Linked DNA regions of Struthio camelus. Each later gene encodes a partner of the first gene's protein in a complex. Links are inferred from orthologs where the notes say so. Each region holds a gene or a part of one and is shown on either strand. Other genes may lie near its edges.

Region 1 (4,438 bases):
CCACGGATTTGGCCGCGCTGCTCCGCGGGGACCAGCGCTGCGCCTGCCGCCACACTCCAGGTGCGTCCGGTGCCGGCTGCAGCCTTCTGCTTTCTCCGTGTTGGTTTTTTTTTCGGCAACAGGCTTTAAACTGAACAAGAAGCTGCATGAGCTGATCATCACCCGCTACGCGGAGCCGGACCTGGCCATCGACTTCGATAACTTCGTCTGCTGCTTGGTGCGCCTGGAAACCATGTTCCGTGAGTGGCCTTTTCCCTTTTTCCGGCTGTTTTTACCACCTGTAGTGAAGAGGAAACGAGCGGTCTCTGCTTTCCGGACTGTTTCATGGCATTCGGAAGGGGGGAGATGCTTCCCACAGGCCATGATTTTGAGGATTAGAAGGAATCGTGTTGATTTTTTCCCTTTCCCCTTCTGTTGCCGCAGGGTTTTTCCAAGCGCTGGACGCAGATAAGGACGGAGTCGTCACTTTTAACTTGTTGAAGGTAGCTTCCGGCTCCGCTGGCGCGTTGGTTGCGGCTCCGGGTGCCACTGGGCCTCGCTCTCACCCTCCTTTCCCTCCTCTCCCTCGCAGTGGCTGCAGCTCACCATGTTCGCTTGAAGCGGAGCCGCTCGCCCCCAGCCCACGGCGCCATCTCAGCTGCCAAGTGCCTTCGCGGCAGGAGCCGGCAGGGGAAATTTCTCCTCCGAGCTGCCCCCCTCCCCTCCCGGCACCTTTCCCCGCCTCGCTTCCGGACACACGGAAAACGGTCTCTTCCCGGGTCTGCCGCTTCCTCCCACGGACGCTCCGGTTTTCCCTTCGGCTACTACCGCTGGCTTTCTCGTTGTGGGATTAATGGAGTAAAGAAGCTGCGGCTCTCGGTGGATGAGGGCGTCGGATCGCGTCCCCGAAACCGCCCCGCGCTGTCCTCAGGCGTCCCCGCCGTCTCCTCGGTGCCTTCCCTGCCGTTTTCCAGCTCGGTTGCCTTAGCGGTTTGTCAGCAAAGTGCTTCGTGTCACCCAGAACGGCCCTTTTTGGTCTCCTTTCTCTGTCTCTCTGCTGCAACCCTGGACGAACCCCCTTCCTCAGGCTTCGCCTCTGGCCGGGGGCTAGCGCGCTTAACGCCGCCGCGAGCACTGAAATGCAGGATATCCCTCTCGCGCTTACCTCCTGGGTACTGTTTTGTCGTTTTGTTGTTTGTTTTTTTTACTGTATAAACTTGTTTTAATGGCGTTTTAAAAAAAAAAAAAAAAAACAGTCTTCTTAAAGCTGCCCCTTGCTGAGTGGTTCTTCCCGGCCCCCGGGGTGGGGTAGCTGGCCACCATCTCCCTGCCTCCCTCGGGGGAGGAAATGGGGTGTTTTTACCACCTGCCTGCAAAATATATAATATATTGACAGAATTTTTTTTTCCCCTCCCTGTTTTTGAGTAAAAGGCCGGCGTGGGGCCCGGTTCCCGGCCGCTCCTGTCATGGCCGCTCCTGTCACGGCCCGGCGCCCCCTCAGCGTCGCGCTGCGCCACAGCCGGGGCGGGAAACTCTTCCCGCCTTTTTCTTCCCCCCCCCCACCCCGTGGGGGAGGGGGGAGGACAGGTGCCGGCCACGCCCCTGAGGGGAAGGCGGGACGGGCGCACCGCCCCCTCCTCCCATTGGCTGACCGCCCTGTCTCGTTTGCATAGCCGCGCCCCCAGCGCTGCTCCGCCCCTCACCGCCTTATAAGGCTGGGGCTCCGCCCCTCCGCGCGCTGCCGTCAAGCGCGGCGGTGTCGCGCCCGCGCGGGCTTTTCGCCGCGGCGGCGGCGGTGGCGGCAGGAGCGATGGCGGCGGCGGCGGTGGAGGAGCCGGTGTCGGCCGAGGCGGTGCTGCGGGAGCTGGGGCTCTTCGAGCTGGGCTGCGACGGCGAGGACGTGCCCGCCAAGCGTGAGGGGGCCGCGGGGCGTCGGGGGGGGGTGGCGAGGGGGTGTGGGGGGGTGTTGGGGTTCGAGGGGGTGTTGGGGTTCGGGGGGGTGTCGGGGTAGTTGTTGGGGTTCGAGGAGGTGTCGGAGGGTTGTTCGGGATCGAGGGGGTGTCGGGGGGTGTTGGGGTTAGGGGAGTGCTGAGGGGGTGCTGGGGGTCGGGGGGGTGTTGGGGTTCGAGGGGGTGGGGGGGTCGAGGAGCGTCAGGGGGGTGTTGCGGTTAGGGGAATTGTTGGGGTGTCGGGATTGTTTGGGGTCGAGGGGGTGTTGGGGTTAGGGGAGTGTCAAGGGGGTGTTGGGGGTCGAGGGGGTTTCGGGGGGGTGTTGGGGGAGTTGTTGGGGTTCGAGGAGGTGTCGGAGGGTTGTTCAGGATCGAGGGGATGTTGGGGGGGGTGTTGGGATTAGGGGAGTGCTGAGGGGGTGTTGGGTGTTGGGGTTCGAGGGGGTGTTGGAGGGTTGTTCGGGGTTGGGGAGGGGCTTTGAGCAGTGTTGTGGTTAGGGGAGTGCTGAGGGGGTGTTGGGGTTCGAGGGGGTGTCGGGGTTGTTGGGGTTCAGGGGGTGTTGGGGGTTAGGGGAGTGTCAGAGAGTGTTGAGGTTTGGGGGGTGCTGGGATCAGGGGAGTGTCAAGGGGGTGTTGGGGTTCGAGGGGGTATCGGGGTTGTTGGGGTTAGGGGAGTGTTGAGGGAGTGTTGAGGGAGTGTTGGGGTTTGGGGCTGTCAGGGTTCGAGGGGGTGTCAGGAGAGTGTTGAGGTTTGAGGGGGTGTTGGCGTTCCAGGGGATGTCAGGGGGTGTTGGGGTTGGGGGGTGTCGAGGGGGTGTTATGATTTGGGGCTGTTAGGGTTCGAGGGGGTGTCGGGAGGATGTTGGGGTTTGAGGGATTGTTGGGGGGTGTTGAGGTTTGAAGGGGTGTTGGGTTGTTGGGGTTCGAGGGGGTGTCGGGAGGATGTTGGGCTTCAGGGGTGTTGAGGGGTCGTTGGGGGCTGCTGGGGTTCAAGGAGGTGCCGGAGGGGTTGTTGGGTTCTGGGGGGGGTGTCGGGGGGAGGGTTGTTAGGGTTTGGGGGTAGCAGGAAGAGGTGGGGGTTGGGGGTCACAGAAGGGTTTGGGGTTTTTTAGGGGTGTTAGGAAGGGGATGGGGTCTTGGGGGTGTTGTTGATCAGGTTTTAGGGGTATCGGGTGGGAGCTGATGGTGTCTAAGAGGTGGGTCACGGTTGGGGGGTGTCGGGGGTGTCAGGATTTAGGATCAGGGAGGGATGGGGGTTGGGGGTACCGAGGGTATTTGGGGGAGAGTTGAGGGTATTGAGGAAGGTGTTTTGGGGGGCGTTGGGGTATTTGGGGAGGGTCGAGGGAATCAGGAAGGTGTTCTGGGAGGTATTGGGCATGTTGGGAGGGTCGGGGGTATCAGGGAAGGCGTTTTGGGGGGGGTCGGGGTATTTGGGGAGGGTCAGGGGTATTAGGGAAGGCGTTTTGGGGGTGTTGGGAAGGTCAGGAGTATCGGGAGGGTGTTTTGGGGCGTGTTGGAGTATTTGGGCAGGGTTGGAGGTATCAGGAAGGCATTTTGGGGGGTGTTGGGGTGTTTGGGGAGGGCTGGGGCCAGGGAAGGTGTTTTTTGGGTGTTGGGAGGATCAGGGGTATCGGGAAGGTGTTTTGGGGGGTGTTGGGGTATTTGGGGAGGAGCAGGGGCATCAGGGAAGGTGTTTAGGGGGGCGTTGGGTACGTTGGGGTATTTGTAGGGGGTATTAGGGACAATTTTGGGAGCTCCCGGGGTTCGGGGGCGTCAGCGCTTGGGGGGATAGGAGGGAGGGTGTTGGGGTTCAGCGCTCGGGGTGGGGGCGGGCGCCCTGCTGACCCCCGCCCGCCCCCCCGCAGTGGTGGAGCTGTGCCTGGCCCACGGCCTCAGCCCCGTCACCCTGGCTAACGAGCTGCTGGCCTTCGTCACCAGCAAGGACTTGGGCACGCTGCTCACCGCCGACGGCCTGGCCGCCTTCGAGCACGAGGTGGGGTCCCCCGCGCCCCCCGCCCCAACCCCTCCCCAACCGCCGCGGGCGCTCACCCCCTCTCCGCCGCCGCCAGGTCCTCGCCAAGCGCAGCAAGAAAATCCCCCGGAGAACGGACAACCGCTACGCCGGTCTCCGCGACATCCATTCCCTCCAGGAGCTGTATCCTTCGCCGGAGCTGTTGGAAGGTTTCGGGGGTTGTCATTTAAGAAATATACATTATATATATTTTAATCGTGCTGCGGGCGGACGTCCCGGAAGCGGCGTTCAGCCAGGGTGGGGAGAGACCCCCGTTCGCGTCCCCTTCCTCGAGCCTGGCGCCGTTCCCGCCTCCGGTGGCGGCGAAACCTCCTTAACGAACGGCAGCCTCGACGAGGACGAGGAAGAGGAGCTGCTGGACGCCTACGCGACGCCCTCCAAGGTGAGCCGGCGGCTTGCGCCCGGCGCCCGCGCCCGGCTCGGCGGCGCCCCGAAACGCCCGCTCTCTCCCGCAGGGCTCGCAGAAACGCGCCGGCGG
Region 2 (4,438 bases), on another chromosome or scaffold:
CGGCAGCGATGCTCTGGCTGGAGGTGACGTCCAGGACGAGGGTCTGCAGCCGGGACGAGGCGGCCGCCCGCAGGCGTGCGGCCCCCGACTCCGTCAGGCACGCCGCCAGCACCCGCAGCCCCCGCGCGTCCAGCTGCCGCGCCAGCAGGTTGCCGAAGCCCGAGTCGCAGCCCGTGATCAGCACGTATTTCTCCGTCAGGTTCGGCACCCGCTGCCGCTCCAGGTACCACCGGCGCAGCAGGTACAGCCCCACCAGCACTGCCAGGTACAGCCACATCCTCGTGGGTGATGCTGGGAGCGCACGGGGTGACGGGGAGAGGGCTGCGGGTGACGGATGCGGCCCCGCGGTGCCAGACGCGTGCGGCTGGGACGGGAACGCTGCGGCTGGTGGCGTCCGCGCGAGTGCCCAGCCCCGGACTGCGGTCGGCTGGCTCCAGGTGGGACGGAGGTGGCTCCCACCCCCCCAGGCCGCCCCCGGAGTGGTCTCGTGGTGCTGCAGGAGCTTGGTCCCAGACCCGCGGCTTCATGCCATCGCGGGGAGGGGCTGGGGACGGCGGGGCCAGGGCACTGCCCTGGCTCTGCTGTTGGCTGCAGCTGGAGGGGAATCATTAACCAGGGCTGGGTCAATGTCCTGGGGGCTCTTCACCCCGGCACCCACACCGCGTGCACGGGGCTGGGTGCACCTTGCACCGCCCGCACCCGCCACTGCCCTGTGCAGCCTGTGCGTCCTGCAGTGCTCCGTGCACCCCGCAATCCCCTGCGCCCCCCTGCAATGCTGTGCACCTCCTGCAATCCTGTGCACTCCCCATTGCTTTGCACCCCACAGCCCTGTGCAACCCCCATGCTGCCCCCATTGCTGTGCACCCTGCAGCCCCGTGTGCCCCCCCAATGCTGTGTGCACCCTGCTATCTCATGTGCCCCCCCCAAATCCCGTGTTTCCCCTGCAAGGCCGTGTGCCCCCCCCAGCCCCGTGCACCCCAATCCTGTGTGCTGCAACTGCGTGCGCCCCAATTCTGTATGCACCCCAATCCTGTGTGTCCCCCAGCCCCATTCACCCCAATCCCGTGTGCACTCCCAGCCCCCTGCACCATTGCAAGGCCGTGCGCCCCCGTGCGCCCTAATCCCCCGTGCGCCCCCCCCAGCCCCCGGTGCCCCGTGTGCCCCCCGTGCCCCGTGTGCCCCCCGTGCCCCGTGTGCCCCCCAGCCCCGTGTGCCCCCCGTGCCCCGTGCGCCCCCCAGCCCCGTGCGCCCCCCAGCCCCGTGCGCCCCCCAGCCCCGTGCGCCCCCCCCAATGCCGCGCGGCCCGGGCCGGTCCCGGACTACAGTTCCCGGCGGCCCCGCGGGGCACGTGGCGCCGCCGCCCCCGCTCCCGCCGCTCCCGCCATGGCGCCCTTCGAGCCGGCGGCGCTGCCCGAGCTGCTCCCGGTTTTCTACCGGCGCCTCTTCCCGCACGGCGCCTACGGCCGCTGGCTCAGCTACGGCGGCGGTGAGCGGGGCCGGCGGCGCCTGCGATGAGCGCGGCGGCCTCAGCGGCGCAGGGCGGGGGGGGGGGGGGGGCCACGGCGGTGCGATGGGGGGGGCGCTGGGGTGCGGTGCAAGGAATGGGGGGGGGGTCCAGGGGTACATTGGTTGGGGGGGGTGCAACGAAGGGAGTCCTGGAGGTGCACGCAATGAGTGGGGGGGCCCGGGGGCGCTGGGATGGGGTGCAATGAATAGGAGGGGTTCAGGGGTGCAATGAAGGGGATGCTGGGGTGCAGGGGATGAGTGGGGGGGTCCCGGGGGCGCTGGCAGGGGTGCAGTGGAGGGGTCCCCCTGGGGACCCACCTGTGGAAGTGGGGGCCTGGGAGCAGTGGACAGGGGGGCCCCGGGTGCAGGCGATGAAGGGGGGACCTGGAGGGGTGACAGCAGGAGGGGCTGCGAATGGGAGGGTGCTGGGGGGGCGTGTGATGAGCGGAGGGTTCTCAGCAGCGCCGCAGCGGGGGGCGGCAGGCCCTGCCCCAGCCCATGCCGGCCGCGCCCCCGCAGCGGCCAAAAACTACTTCCAGCTGCGGGAGTTCTCCTTCACGCTGCGGGACGACGTCTACCTGCGCTTCCAGTCCTTCGGCAGCCCCCAGGAGCTGGAGCGGGAGCTGCAGAAAACCAACCCCTACAAGATCGACATTGGGGCCGTGTACTCGCACCGCGTGAGTCGGCGGCGGCAGCCGGGCCGGGGGCGCGTGCCGCGGGCACGGGCTGAGCCGGCTGCCTTCCCCGCAGCCCAACCAGCACAACACGGTGCACCTGGGCGCCTTCCAGCCGCAGGAGAAGGAGCTGGTGTTCGACATCGACATGACGGACTACGATGATGTCCGCGCGTGCTGCAGGTCCCCGGGGCGGCCGGGCGAGTGGGGAGGGCTGGGGAGGCGCCCGGCGCTGCCGCCGCACGCTCCCGACCCGGCTCCGCTCCGCCTGCAGCTCGGCCGAGATCTGCTCCAAGTGCTGGACCCTGATGACCATCGCCGTCCGCGTGCTCGACCGGGCGCTTGTGGGTGAGCCCCCCAGACCCCGCGCCACCCCTCGCCTCGGGCGCTTTCCCATGGGTTTTTAGGACGTGCTCGGCTGCAGTTTGCGTTGCAATAGCGTCTGCTGCCGCGGCGCCCGGAGGGGGGCGCGATGGGCGGAGGGGAGCAACGGCAGGGATCCTGGGCATGCGCCCAGGGGTGCAACGGCGGGGTGCTTTCTGGGGGCTGTGCCAGGACCGCCGCTTCCCGCGGCCCTTGCTGGAGCCCTGCTCTTTCCCCTGCAGAGGACCTGGGCGTGAAGCACCGGCTCTGGGTGTACTCGGGCCGCCGGGGCGTCCACTGCTGGGTATGCGACGACACGGTGCGCAAGTGGTCGCCGGCGCTGCGCGGCGCCGCCGTGGAGTACCTGTCGCTGGTGAAGGTGGGTGGGCGGCGGGGCCGGGGGGCGGCGCGGGGCAGCCCACTGTGCCCCAGGCCCGGCCTCACCACCGCCATCCCCCCAGGGCGGCGCGGAGACGGTGAAGAAGGTGGCGCTCTCAGAGCCTGTGCACCCCTTCGTCAGGTGGGTGAGATGCGGGGCCGGGGCGGGCGGGCGGGCGGCGCGGGGCCGGCCGGGGCTGAGCCGCCTCTGCCCGCAGGCGCTCGGTGAGCGTGGTGGAGCGGTACTTCGCCGCCTACGCCCTGGAGGGCCAGGACATCCTGGGCAGCCAGGAGAGCTGGGAGAAGGTGCTGGCCCTCGTGCCAGAGGATATCCTTTCCGGAGCCGCCGCGTTGGGAGCGGGAGGGGGGTCCGGCAACACCCGGCGAATGGCCTTAACCGCCGGCACAGCACCGTGACGTGCTGCGGAGCGAATTCCCCAAGAAGAGGGACTCGGCGCAGCGCTGGGAGCTGCTGAAGGCCAGGATGGAGCGGACGCGGGTGAGTGTGGCGGGGCAGCGGTGGGACCACGGTGGTGGCAGTGGTGGTGACGGGCCCCTCCGCCGTTGCAGCGCCCTGCGGGCCCCGGGAAGAGCCTGCCGTGCTACGCAGACTGGGAGATCATGCTGCAGTACTGCTTCCCCCGGCTGGACATCAACGTCAGCAAGGGCGTCGGGCACCTGCTCAAGAGCCCCTTCAGTGTCCACCCCAAAACAGGTAGGTCCCGGCCGCCCTGCGGGCCGCCCCGCGCCCGGCCCCCCCTCACCCCCCAACCCCGGCAGGGCGCATCTCGGTGCCGCTGGACCTGCAGAGGCTGGAGCAGTTCGACCCCTTCGCTGTCCCCACCATCAGGTAGGTGCGTGCCGGGGGGTGGGGGGGGTCCGCGGCAGCAGTGGGGGGTGGCCACCACCTCCCGCCGCGTCTCTCTCCCGCAGCTCCCTGTGCCAGGAGCTGGACGCAACCAGCGAGCTGGAGGACGACGGCGACACAGAGCCCAAGCGGCGGCCGCGGGGTGAGCGGGGCCGGGCTGGGCTGGGGGGCTGCGGGGGAGTCCCCATTGCCCCGGCCCCGCTCAGTCCCGTCTCCCGCAGACTACAAGCGGACGAGCCTGGCGCCCTATGTGCGGCTCTTCGAGCAGTTCGTGGAGGGCATGGAGCGCGCCCGGCGCGGAGAGGCGCTCCGGCGGAGCGGTGAGCACCCGGCGACAGCCCACTGCCCCTGCCCAGGGGGAGCTGCTCTTTCTGGGGTAAAAACCCCCCATTTCTCCTCTTTCCAGACCTGCAAGGAGACTTCTGAGCCAGCGGCCGGGCCCCGCATCCCGAGGTCGAGCCGTCTCCCTGCCACCCGCCGTGCCCGACCCCCTGGCCCAGACCGGCCCTTCCTGCCCCCCTTTTTGTACTTTTTTTGCACAAAGACCATTAAACAGCTCTGTTGCCTCCGCGGCCAACGTGTGGGTCGGGGCTGGGCAGGGTGGAGGGTGCCGGCCGCACAGCCATGGGTGCGTCACCATGGGGCGCAG

Evidence for each region.
Region 2: POLA2 (region 1) and PRIM1 share a complex: the UniProt entries of both Homo sapiens proteins name them as parts of the alpha DNA polymerase complex. The link is inferred for Struthio camelus from reciprocal best matches to the Homo sapiens genes POLA2 and PRIM1.

Annotation. Positions count from the first base shown.
Region 1 is NC_090976.1:815,410-819,847, forward strand, and holds the start of POLA2 (DNA polymerase alpha subunit B), read left to right. Parts: upstream 1-1,722; 5' UTR 1,723-1,789; coding exon 1,790-1,892; intron 1,893-3,793; coding exon 3,794-3,921; intron 3,922-3,997; coding exon 3,998-4,083; intron 4,084-4,287; coding exon 4,288-4,342; intron 4,343-4,415; coding exon 4,416-4,438. Other genes in the region: CAPN1 (calpain-1 catalytic subunit), read left to right, coding at 123-239, 424-482, 572-598. UniProt on the Homo sapiens protein: Accessory subunit of the DNA polymerase alpha complex (also known as the alpha DNA polymerase-primase complex) which plays an essential role in the initiation of DNA synthesis.
Region 2 is NC_090969.1:362,529-366,966, forward strand, and holds PRIM1 (DNA primase small subunit), read left to right. Parts: upstream 1-1,328; 5' UTR 1,329-1,383; coding exon 1,384-1,486; intron 1,487-2,025; coding exon 2,026-2,183; intron 2,184-2,256; coding exon 2,257-2,363; intron 2,364-2,454; coding exon 2,455-2,528; intron 2,529-2,785; coding exon 2,786-2,922; intron 2,923-3,004; coding exon 3,005-3,063; intron 3,064-3,139; coding exon 3,140-3,249; intron 3,250-3,328; coding exon 3,329-3,420; intron 3,421-3,491; coding exon 3,492-3,636; intron 3,637-3,701; coding exon 3,702-3,771; intron 3,772-3,854; coding exon 3,855-3,931; intron 3,932-4,010; coding exon 4,011-4,109; intron 4,110-4,195; coding exon 4,196-4,215; 3' UTR 4,216-4,359; downstream 4,360-4,438. Other genes in the region: retinol dehydrogenase 16-like, read right to left, coding at 1-277. UniProt on the Homo sapiens protein: Catalytic subunit of the DNA primase complex and component of the DNA polymerase alpha complex (also known as the alpha DNA polymerase-primase complex - primosome/replisome) which play an essential role in the initiation of DNA synthesis.